Linked DNA regions of Neodiprion lecontei. The protein of the gene in region 2 interacts with the protein of the main gene of each other region in a pairwise test. Links are inferred from orthologs where the notes say so. Each region holds a gene or a part of one and is shown on either strand. Other genes may lie near its edges. The genes, in order: zinc finger protein 830 and RNA helicase aquarius.

The links.
Region 1: the proteins of RNA helicase aquarius (region 2) and zinc finger protein 830 interact in a two-hybrid assay, tested with the Homo sapiens proteins (2 studies listed by BioGRID and IntAct, with this or other methods). The link is inferred for Neodiprion lecontei from reciprocal best matches to the Homo sapiens genes AQR and ZNF830.

What each region holds. Positions count from the first base shown.
Region 1 is NC_060260.1:1,884,098-1,888,727, reverse strand, and holds zinc finger protein 830, read right to left. Parts: upstream 2,691-4,630; 5' UTR 2,510-2,690; coding exon 2,397-2,509; intron 2,293-2,396; coding exon 1,845-2,292; intron 1,442-1,844; coding exon 1,272-1,441; intron 1,162-1,271; coding exon 1,017-1,161; 3' UTR 817-1,016; downstream 1-816.
Region 2 is NC_060266.1:126,413-131,438, reverse strand, and holds the start of RNA helicase aquarius, read right to left. Parts: upstream 3,075-5,026; 5' UTR 2,926-3,074; coding exon 2,839-2,925; intron 2,564-2,838; coding exon 1,927-2,563; intron 1,454-1,926; coding exon 1,275-1,453; intron 1,024-1,274; exon of another isoform or gene 364-1,023; coding exon of another isoform or gene 1-363. Other genes in the region: probable G-protein coupled receptor Mth-like 5, read left to right, coding at 1-363.

The DNA.
Region 1 (4,630 bases), on a different chromosome or scaffold from region 2:
CATGAATACTCGCAACGGCATAGTACATAAATTAATACTTACAGAGGCTTATTTACGATGAGTTATACGCTGCATCGCACATTTCTGGATCCCAAGTACAGCAATTTCCGAATGAGAATTCTTCGATGCTCGTTCGACACCTCGTCTTTCAGCTAAACGTCCCGATAAACTTCTTCTTACAACTAGCCGTTAGAAATGACGCCGAGAGAAAAAAAAAAAGCGAACGACGCGAAGTACAAATTTGTTGCAGCTATGTTCAGACCGTTCCGCGATCCGCGAGCGGATAAACAATTGTGAAGCGCGATTCAACAATCCGTCGTATCACCGGTTTCTTCCAACGTGAATCGATAAACCAAATAGAACTTGTAAACGCTAAAATTTACCGCAGCAATGAAAACGAGACAAACAACTCACTTTCAATGTTCGCAGGCTTTTCTAATTTCAATAATTCCTGTCTTCGTGAAGGTCAAGCGTCCATGGTTTGTGTACTAAAACGAACGTGCAAATTCTGGACCGAACACACTGAACCTGCCTCTTTTCACAGCCTGATCAGAGGGCTCTGGATTTCGAATCGTCGAAGTGCGTGTTACTCGTGAAATGTCTCGGAAGCGAATGACGTCGCGTTAGTCGCAATTATCGAAGATTTTTCTCCGGGCAGTCTCCATTTTGTCGAGCCGATCGCCGGTCTTTGTGTTTAAACGAACGCATCGCGAAGCTGAGCTCCTTGCTTTTAAACAAGGTATGGTCGACAAGTTTATAAAGAATAAAATAACAATAAAAGTGAGTTTATATTGAGTAAAGAATTGCTCAGTTCGATTTCTCCAAACTGTTCTATGAAAATTTATTTCTTTCATATCAGATTATTCAGACTTAATTTCTATACAACTGGGGAATTGTTTGTCACACTAAAGCAACGTGAATTTCGTATACCCTTGCGAGTACGACAGACAATTACGAGAGTATTTACAGATGAAAAAAATAATGTACACTCCGCGATATCGTGACAAATTTATTCATTATTTGTACGATTTTTTAGCTCGCCAATCGAGGAACTCGTCAAACTCAGCCTCGTCTCCGCTGGAAACTTCCTCCTCTACAGCTACGCTCTTTCTCTCGACCTGCTCCAGCACTTCTTCCCTGCGTCGCTCTAACTCTAGGACCCTGAGAAAACAACAGATTCGATCAAGGTAAGAAAATTGAAAGAAACCTGTAATAATTGCGTATAAAGTTTGGTGACAAAAGTGATTGAAGATTATTTGAGATTTCGTCACCTAGACCAGTGTCGCATCTGTTCCTCTATTTCGTCTAATTGCCTCTCGGTCGTCGCTTCCTCCTGATCATCCGCTATGATCTGAGCCGACTGTGCAGCCTCCTCTTTAATCTCTTTTTGAAACTTTTCCCACTCTTCTTCAATCGGGTCTTTGTACTCGACGTTTCTTACCTGCAGAAACCAAGAAACCTTAAATATGAATATACAATCAAAACAAGCAACGGTTATTGTCGAAAATGTATTCAAGACAGTGAGAAACTAGCTGAGAAGTAGAATTTAGTGGAAATACTATCTTGACCTCAATGTTGGTGAAATGATAGATTCTTGGATGTATGGGTAAGTAAAATCCATAGGGTTGATGTTTTGGCCCGAGATCATTAAAGATGATTCACATTGAATAATCCGTTCTGAGGAGAGCTCTCGCTTGGGCTGAACCGTCGACCATTTCTTTTTCACTGAACAGTATATCCAAGAATCTATCGGCTCGTTAGAATTTAGTTTTCGTGACGTTGCCTCAACTATTTAAAGTTTTTCTAGTCAATCACCAGCTCCTTTTCACCCAAGTCTACATCACCTTAGCGTCCATGATAGGATCGTCGAAAAAGCCTTCTGGGAGCTGAGCCTGACTGAGATCCTTCTCCTCCTCCTTCTCTTCCATCTCGACATCCTCACTTTCCGCCGATTCCTTTGTCACTTCAGTTTTGGCCTCGTGAACATTACGAGGAGGTTTAGGTGCGGAGGTTTTGTCAAAGAAGTCATCAGGCAGTGCAGACGACACTGCAGGGCCATTTTTCAAAATACTCTTCAACTTTTTACTCGGTACTTCCACATTCGCAGTAGAGGTAGGCCGTTTAAAACTGTGTGGAGCGATCGGAGCAGGTTTGGGAGGCTCGACATGTTCCTTTTTTGCGAGGATGATGTTTTCTTTGTGAATCTTGGAGTTCAGGTGGATATTCCATACCGCTTCACTGCGCACCAGTGTCTTGCAGAGTATGCATATCAGCTGACCCGAATCTGTGTACGTGCTTACATTCATAAGGAAATATACGTGTCAAGTTATAGCGATGAGAGGGGGATGCAAAAATCGTAAAGTATGATGTTTATTCTATTTTACATAAAAGGATATTTTGCGATTGGTGATTCGATTCTCGTCACTGTGGTCAGCTTCTTTTTGTGCTCATTCATAACTCGACGCAAGTCTGTCTGCGTCACTTTCTTCCCAACGTTTCTCAGAGACATAATTGATTCTGGTTTTTGTATCTTGTCAAATATCACCAAGTTTACGATTTAAAACAAAATTAGGTTAGGATGTGTACGTTGTGTGTTGTTTTCGGGGTTGTGAGAGATTATGTCAAGCAGGTTGTCAGGTTACGATAGATTTAGTCAGTCTGTTCTACCCTCACGGGATCTACATACTTACCGACCGTCATTTTAACTACAGAGAAATCAACGATGCATAAATCCTCGCCAGGTAGCGCCACCATGCGTAATCTTCCATGGCGGTGGAATAGGCTGCATGTAACCAGGCGAACCTACTTTAAAGTTTATTCAAAAAGCGCTGGTAAAAACAAGTAAAAATAAAGAGAATAATCACGGGAGTAAATTACTACGACAAAAAAAATTTGCAGTGGAGAAGATTGTCTTTCTCTCCTCGCTTCTCGTCTGTTGTACGTCGTGGCTATAATTTTTTTTTTAATACCTTCTGGTATATTAAATGAGAGTATACATGCAGGTTGCATTAAATCAGCCACGCATCGCGTTCGATGGTGCCATATATTTTAGTTAAAAATTCACCACAGCGGGTATTCGGAGTCGAAATATGTCAAAACACGATATCGCGCAATTACGATTAAATTGTGAAATTTTTTTAACCAGCTAATTCTCGCCGCACTACGGGGTATTCCAGATGACGGTGATATTCCGGAGTTGTTGTATAACTTGTTAGATTTATGACAAAGAGAGAAAAAGAGAGCGAGAGAGAGAGAGAGAGAGAGAGACAATGCCAGAGGGAGAAACGGAGAATAGCACACGTTCTGTGTACCCTTAAATCACGCGTGGGACATATTAGTTAAGTTCGTGGGTTTCTTGGGTATGATCAATACGTCGTACGAAGCTGCGTTACTCGTATATTAAATGAAAACGTGAAACATGCTGTATAAACGCAACAGTATCGATTATCGGTCAAACGAACTTCAGCCGTGTATACATACCTATACATGCGTATACACACAACTCGCTCGCACCTCGCACCCTCCAGCGATAACTTTTCCGCGCAACCGATGATATATAGGCTTAAAAAGTTTTCCATTCTTTGCCCCATTCTTATCAAAATTTTACGAACGGCTGTATTTGTACACCGAGTATTTATGCCTACGTTGCAAAATATCGCCTCCATTGTGAAACGTAAAATTTAAAATTTTCAATGGCAACACTGTACAAACGCACATGCGAAAACAGAACATCTTTTCGAGGCGAAGATATTGCATTTACGTGTTTCGAACAACGATTTGGAGCTTATCGTCTCTGGTGAGAATTTAGCTCACCCGAAATCTTTGAAAAGATCAATATAATATATTGATGAAAAGATTATGGCTATAATGAAGTTCCTTCCGTGCACAAAATTTACTTAATTAATTAAACAACTTTCGAAATGCGCAGGTAGCTGGAGGGAAATACGTTGTATAAGGAAAATTTACAACATGTACGCAAAGGTAGCAACGCTGCGTATGTAAAGGTAGTAGGTGGTCGGGTCCTTGTTGACAAGATGTGTACATAGTTACCACATACATCTACGATGTACAGAACTAGCTTGCGGTAAAGTTTCCTCGGCCTCTTTCGAGATCTGCGAGTCTAGGGAGGTTTTAGACTGAAATTCGAGGTATCTGTGCATCTGCTGACTCGGCGATCGAAGCGATTTGAACTCGCTACGTATGGCGTCTTTCGACATTATTGCTCCTTATAGACGATTCGTCGAGTGCTTCGTCGCCTCGGGCGTTAGCGTACCAACCCAATATCTGTAGTGCCCTGCATAGCTGCTGCTTCTGCTGCTTTTGCTGCTACGGCGGTAAATTGACGACAAAAAGTAAAGAGGCGCAGTCCGTCGTGTCTGGGTCCTCTTCACATCGCCGTCTAATTACAGGGTGGAAGAGTTGTGGGGAGAAAAAATTTGACAAGTAATTGGCCCGATTCGACTCGATAACGGTATTAAAAAAGCATGGATATAAATCGGTTGAAAAGCTTATAAAATCTGATGAATAAATAATAGCAAAAGTGTCGATCAACATTTCAGAGCTGAACTCGGCCGCGCTATCGCCAAATCAAGATGGCCGCCATTGGCCCACTTGCGATTTAATTTTAACC
Region 2 (5,026 bases):
GTTGCATTTAGTGTCATTTTTAATGTATGGTTCGTTGCGACGACCACAAATTTCATGAAACGAATGAACACGTATGGCAGAATTCACCATAAAATGAAGTATAGTTTCAGAATGTTTGTATTTCTATTTATTATTATGGGGGTTGCCTGGTCATTTACCCTACTTTCCTGGATGAGATCAGAGTTGGAATACTGTTCCATTGTCATAAATTTGTTACAAGCCATTCTAATTCTATATGTATGCGTGTTCGGTCAAAGAAGAGTCACCTTCTTGTTGAGAAAAACTTGCAACTGTTGCAGCCCAGGTGACACTGCTCAGGGCCTCGATTGGGGTGAAGAAATGACAGCTATTAATCTGGGATAACTGTGTCGCACATTGCCGAGTCCCTACTGCTGACTAATAATTTCATTGTCAACGAGTTTGTGAAACCTACATTCCACAATTGAATCTATTTTTCCCATGACTTGACAAGTATTTACCATTCAACCATACTAATGCAAATCCAGAGATTTTAACATTTCGTCGGCAACAGCCGATTATCCACATAAATTATCCAATCATTTTGAAGGATGCAAATTTCAGCACCAAGGGTACTACTTTTATAAATCTCAATCAATTCCTACAATTAGCTCGATCGTATAATCAAATCCTTTGACGCAATCGCACCATATCTAAGTACTTAACTAATTATACATTTTGCTGTTTGAGTCGTCGCACGAGACTGATGAAACAAATTATAAAATATATTAGCCCGTCATCTGGTTTTGTAAAAAATTAACTCCAACTTCGAGGAAGCATATCTATTTTTAAGTAAACGGAATTTCTCAATTAGTATTAGGATTAAGCTCATCGATTGAAGAGTAACTCTGTACCTTGCACAGTGCCTTTGTTTTGAAATATTTAATGATAATATTTACAGAACACTAACGCACTTTAAGGCTCTCACTTGTTTAGTGCAGCGATCTCAAATCTTTATACCTAAATCTATTAATTGACATGAATAAAATTTTTTTAATCTGCAAACCGAAGTCAAAGTGTATTTGTACATACGTCTTGTGTCGTGTAGTAGTCGACTAATCCAAGAAGCAAGTATTGATTATTATTTTTAGGGAATACCGTACCAACCAAATCATTTGTGTCTAGAAAGTGCAAAGCATATACCAGGTGTAACATGTGCGAGCATTGTTACAATTAAGTTATTGCCCGTGTTTGTTGCTTTTTCACACACGACATCCTGACGGTAATACAGGAGAAAATTGAATAAGATTACTCACCTGGTTGAAAAGACCTCCCTCTGGGCGTTGCACCAAGTTGGAGAGTTGACACCGTACTACCAAATGACTGTCATCCATGACTGTGTTGAAGAAACGTCTGGTAGGCAGAAGAGCTTCCAAGTCGATAACCAACTCCAAGAACCTTTCGCAATAATGTATCTTGTCGGGAAAAATTGCTCCTGAAATGTGGCAAAAAGGGCACGATGTAAGTATATCAGCTGAAATATAGTAATTAAAAAAGATCTTGCCCATTAAATGACCAAAATAATTTCAATCAAATTGGGTTTATGAGGCAACTTGGTATAAACACGCACAAGGTTTGAGAAACGATATTTCCAGTTAAATTGTTGTAATTATAAATGACAGTAAAAAAAAAAAAATAAACAGAAAAGGATGCCATCAACATCCCAATCGTAAGGAAGAGATTGGATTAAAATCAGTAACGGTAATGTAACAAAACATGGAATAGTAAATCAGCATTTTACATCTTTAAATGGACTTTGAAGAATTAAAGGTTGCAAATCCAAATTTCAAACAATTACCGTATAATCGCAATTACATTCCAGAATTGCAATGTTCCCCAATAAAATTCTGAGATACGATACTGATCTCCTCAACCGTTGAATAAAAACTCTCTCATAGAAAGACTCACCCTCGAGTGGTACAGTTTCCAGGATAGTCATAAATTTGACCATCAATCTCTGTAGGAATCTCCGCTCCCAGTCCAACTTCTGTCTGATCTCTGGCTTATCTTTCTTTTGTATAATTTTCCAATATTTTCTCCACTTGGGAAACTTTCTAAACTCAAACTCACGTCTGCCCTGTTGCAGTGATACCCACATTGACAATGACACCAACCTCTTAACTTCATTTCTCACTAACGCTACTTCCATAGAATTGAAACAATGATTCAAAAAAACAATAAGCGCCGTCTGTTCTTTAAGATCAAAATCCATTGTACTCTCGTTCAAACAAGCTTCCAGAACTTGCTGAAAAAATCCAGGAAAATGTTGAGGATTCTTCGAAAAAGCTTCCCAGACTTGGACTCTCTCTCGAAATTTTTCGTTCAGCATTACAACTATCGACATCATGTGACTGTGTGACGTTTCTCCTGTACTATAATTTGGCCAAAGATAATTTTCCAGGTATTGGCTGAATTCGAGCATCATTATGCGCCTGATTGAAAACTTTGAAGCACATATCTCTTGTATGTATATATCTTCGATGATTACCGGATCAAACTGGAGGTGTGAGTTGGTTGTGTGAGGTGCCCAATATTTGTTGGCCAACTGGAAAATGGAAACGTATACAGGTGAATACTTGATATGTAAGTGCATATTTTGTAACCGCCCAATGAAATCGTATGAATTAATATCTGCATTCAAAACAACCGGTCAACATAACCTCCTCGCCGCTACCGCACAGGCATGTATCATTACATGCGCATGATTTATGTAATGTATAATTCACCTCGGTTACGTTCTCTGTTATGGCGACGAGGTAGAGTATGAAAAACAAGACGAGCATGTGTATAATTCATGAAAATACGATACAATTATGCTACCTGTGTTATTCTGTCGGCATTTATTTGATCGACCGTGGGCGCAGGATTATTAGTTTTAACGAGGAGTGAAACTGCTGGATTTTCCATTTTCAGATATGAAGTATTTCAACGCTGTAAGAGTAGGAAATTAAACTCCTACAAGACAAACTTCGTCCCTGTGATCAACCAACGACCGTGATTGAACGGATGAAATCGTCAGACGTTGACGCCGGTTGTGATTGTGGTTTATTAGACAATTGTTGTCTACGCCATAAACACGGTCTGCCAAGGGAGGTGATGTCACGGAATATCCATGCACCACGAATGGACTCACGGATGCGTTCCGAAATTAGCTAACAGTGCTGTCAACTATAGTTTATCTCTTTTGCACTACCGAGTTCGTGGGTAACTCCGCCTCAGTTCTAGGGGATTGTTGGCGCGCCGTCGGCTAGTTTCGGAACCACATGACATAATGGTGGGTAGAAACATTTCCTCAGTTGAAATACTCAGTTTGTTTTACAAGCCATCAGAAAATATGCAATTTCCGATCAGATGAGCGCGAGCGACCGAATCACGAAATATGGGAACGGAAATAATGCATGAACAGCTGGCTTAAAGGGGCGAAGGAGTAAGTGGCGACAATGAGCATCGAAATCAGGTCAGTTGTTGACTTGTTCTGCAACATAAATGAAAAGACATTTTAAATTCGCTATGCATACTGAGCTGGATAGTAAGTTTATTACTATCATCGCTACACATAAAATGAACCCACGGTAGTGTTAAAAAATATTAAATGATTCCCCTCCTCGACATCTCGCGTCCAATGTCAGTTATATTTCATTATTTATTTTTTTTTCTTCTCTTTCCAGCAGACCGTTATCACACAAGTTGTAGAGATGATAGTCGCCGCTGCGTGAGTGACCTTCAACGCGAGTGTGAGCAGCACACTTTAAGATAGATTCACGGCATATGTAGAGATGCTAAGAAATTGCAGTATCAATAGCAATCTCGGTTTTGCCGTCGATTGAAAAACGTGGTAATGGTATCAATGATTTTTTTTCCTGTCACTTCTACAGCGCTCGATGATGAAACTACAACTGGACGGTCGTACATTATACGATTTAATTTCACCTGACACATTTATCAACTGTTGTGTTGTTGTTGTTAACACAGTTTCTACGAAAGACCATGTAGTCTTCCGAAAAATGTGCGAGAAAGATCATTATCGGTTAGTTGGAAGTAAATTGGCGCAGGGCGTAGAAATTATATCACTGGAATATACATATATAACGTAACGATTCCAATGCAAATATGCATGACGTTTCTATACTAAATGGTTACAGCAGGAACAATCGCATCGCTACCAGGATTGCACATGGTGATTATACTTGCCACGATTTTATGATAAGTGGTGGGAAATTTTGTTAGTATCAATTTATATGTTACTTAAGTTACATACGCTACTGTCGCTGTCGCAATACTTACCTATACACGTTACACGATTGTAGCGGACAATAACAAACTCGAGGCTTATGTGACAAATTTGTTTTTCTGCGTGGCGCGTTTTATATGAGTATAGGGAAAGACTATTGTATAGGTACACAATGAACATCCATGCGAGGCTCAATTATTGAATACTAGCTACGACTGCGACTGACGCAGCCGATTTTACACGAGGCCCGCATAAACGGGTTCAATAAGTGAGCCTGTGAATGCAGCGAGTATAAGGAGTATTCGCTTGTAATACATTAGCTTTGTCGGAATTGGAAAGATAACCAATAAGAATTGTGAAAATTGACCTCAATGCGGTATTCGGAAAACGTGATCGACTGGTGTCACCCTCATTTTATACCAGTAACCGACAAGGCTTGACATTTATCGAAAGCCACGTACAATCCTGCAATGCTGATCGTTGGATACAATTCGGACCTACATCGATGCGATGAGCACTATATTGGTAATCTGGCCAAGTATACACAGGGTCGTTTGCCACCGCCAAGTTTTTCTCGCATTGTCGAGCATCAGCAGGTATAAGTCAGTATATAAATTGATATCGCACAAGTAACCCTCCTGCGATACCCTCATCATCAGGGAGGGTGTGGTCTACATAGCGCGTCACGCAGCTACATCGTATACCTACCGGATACAGTCATATTTATATCAAGACACGCATGACACTTAAAACACTAGGTATAATGTCCCTTATCGC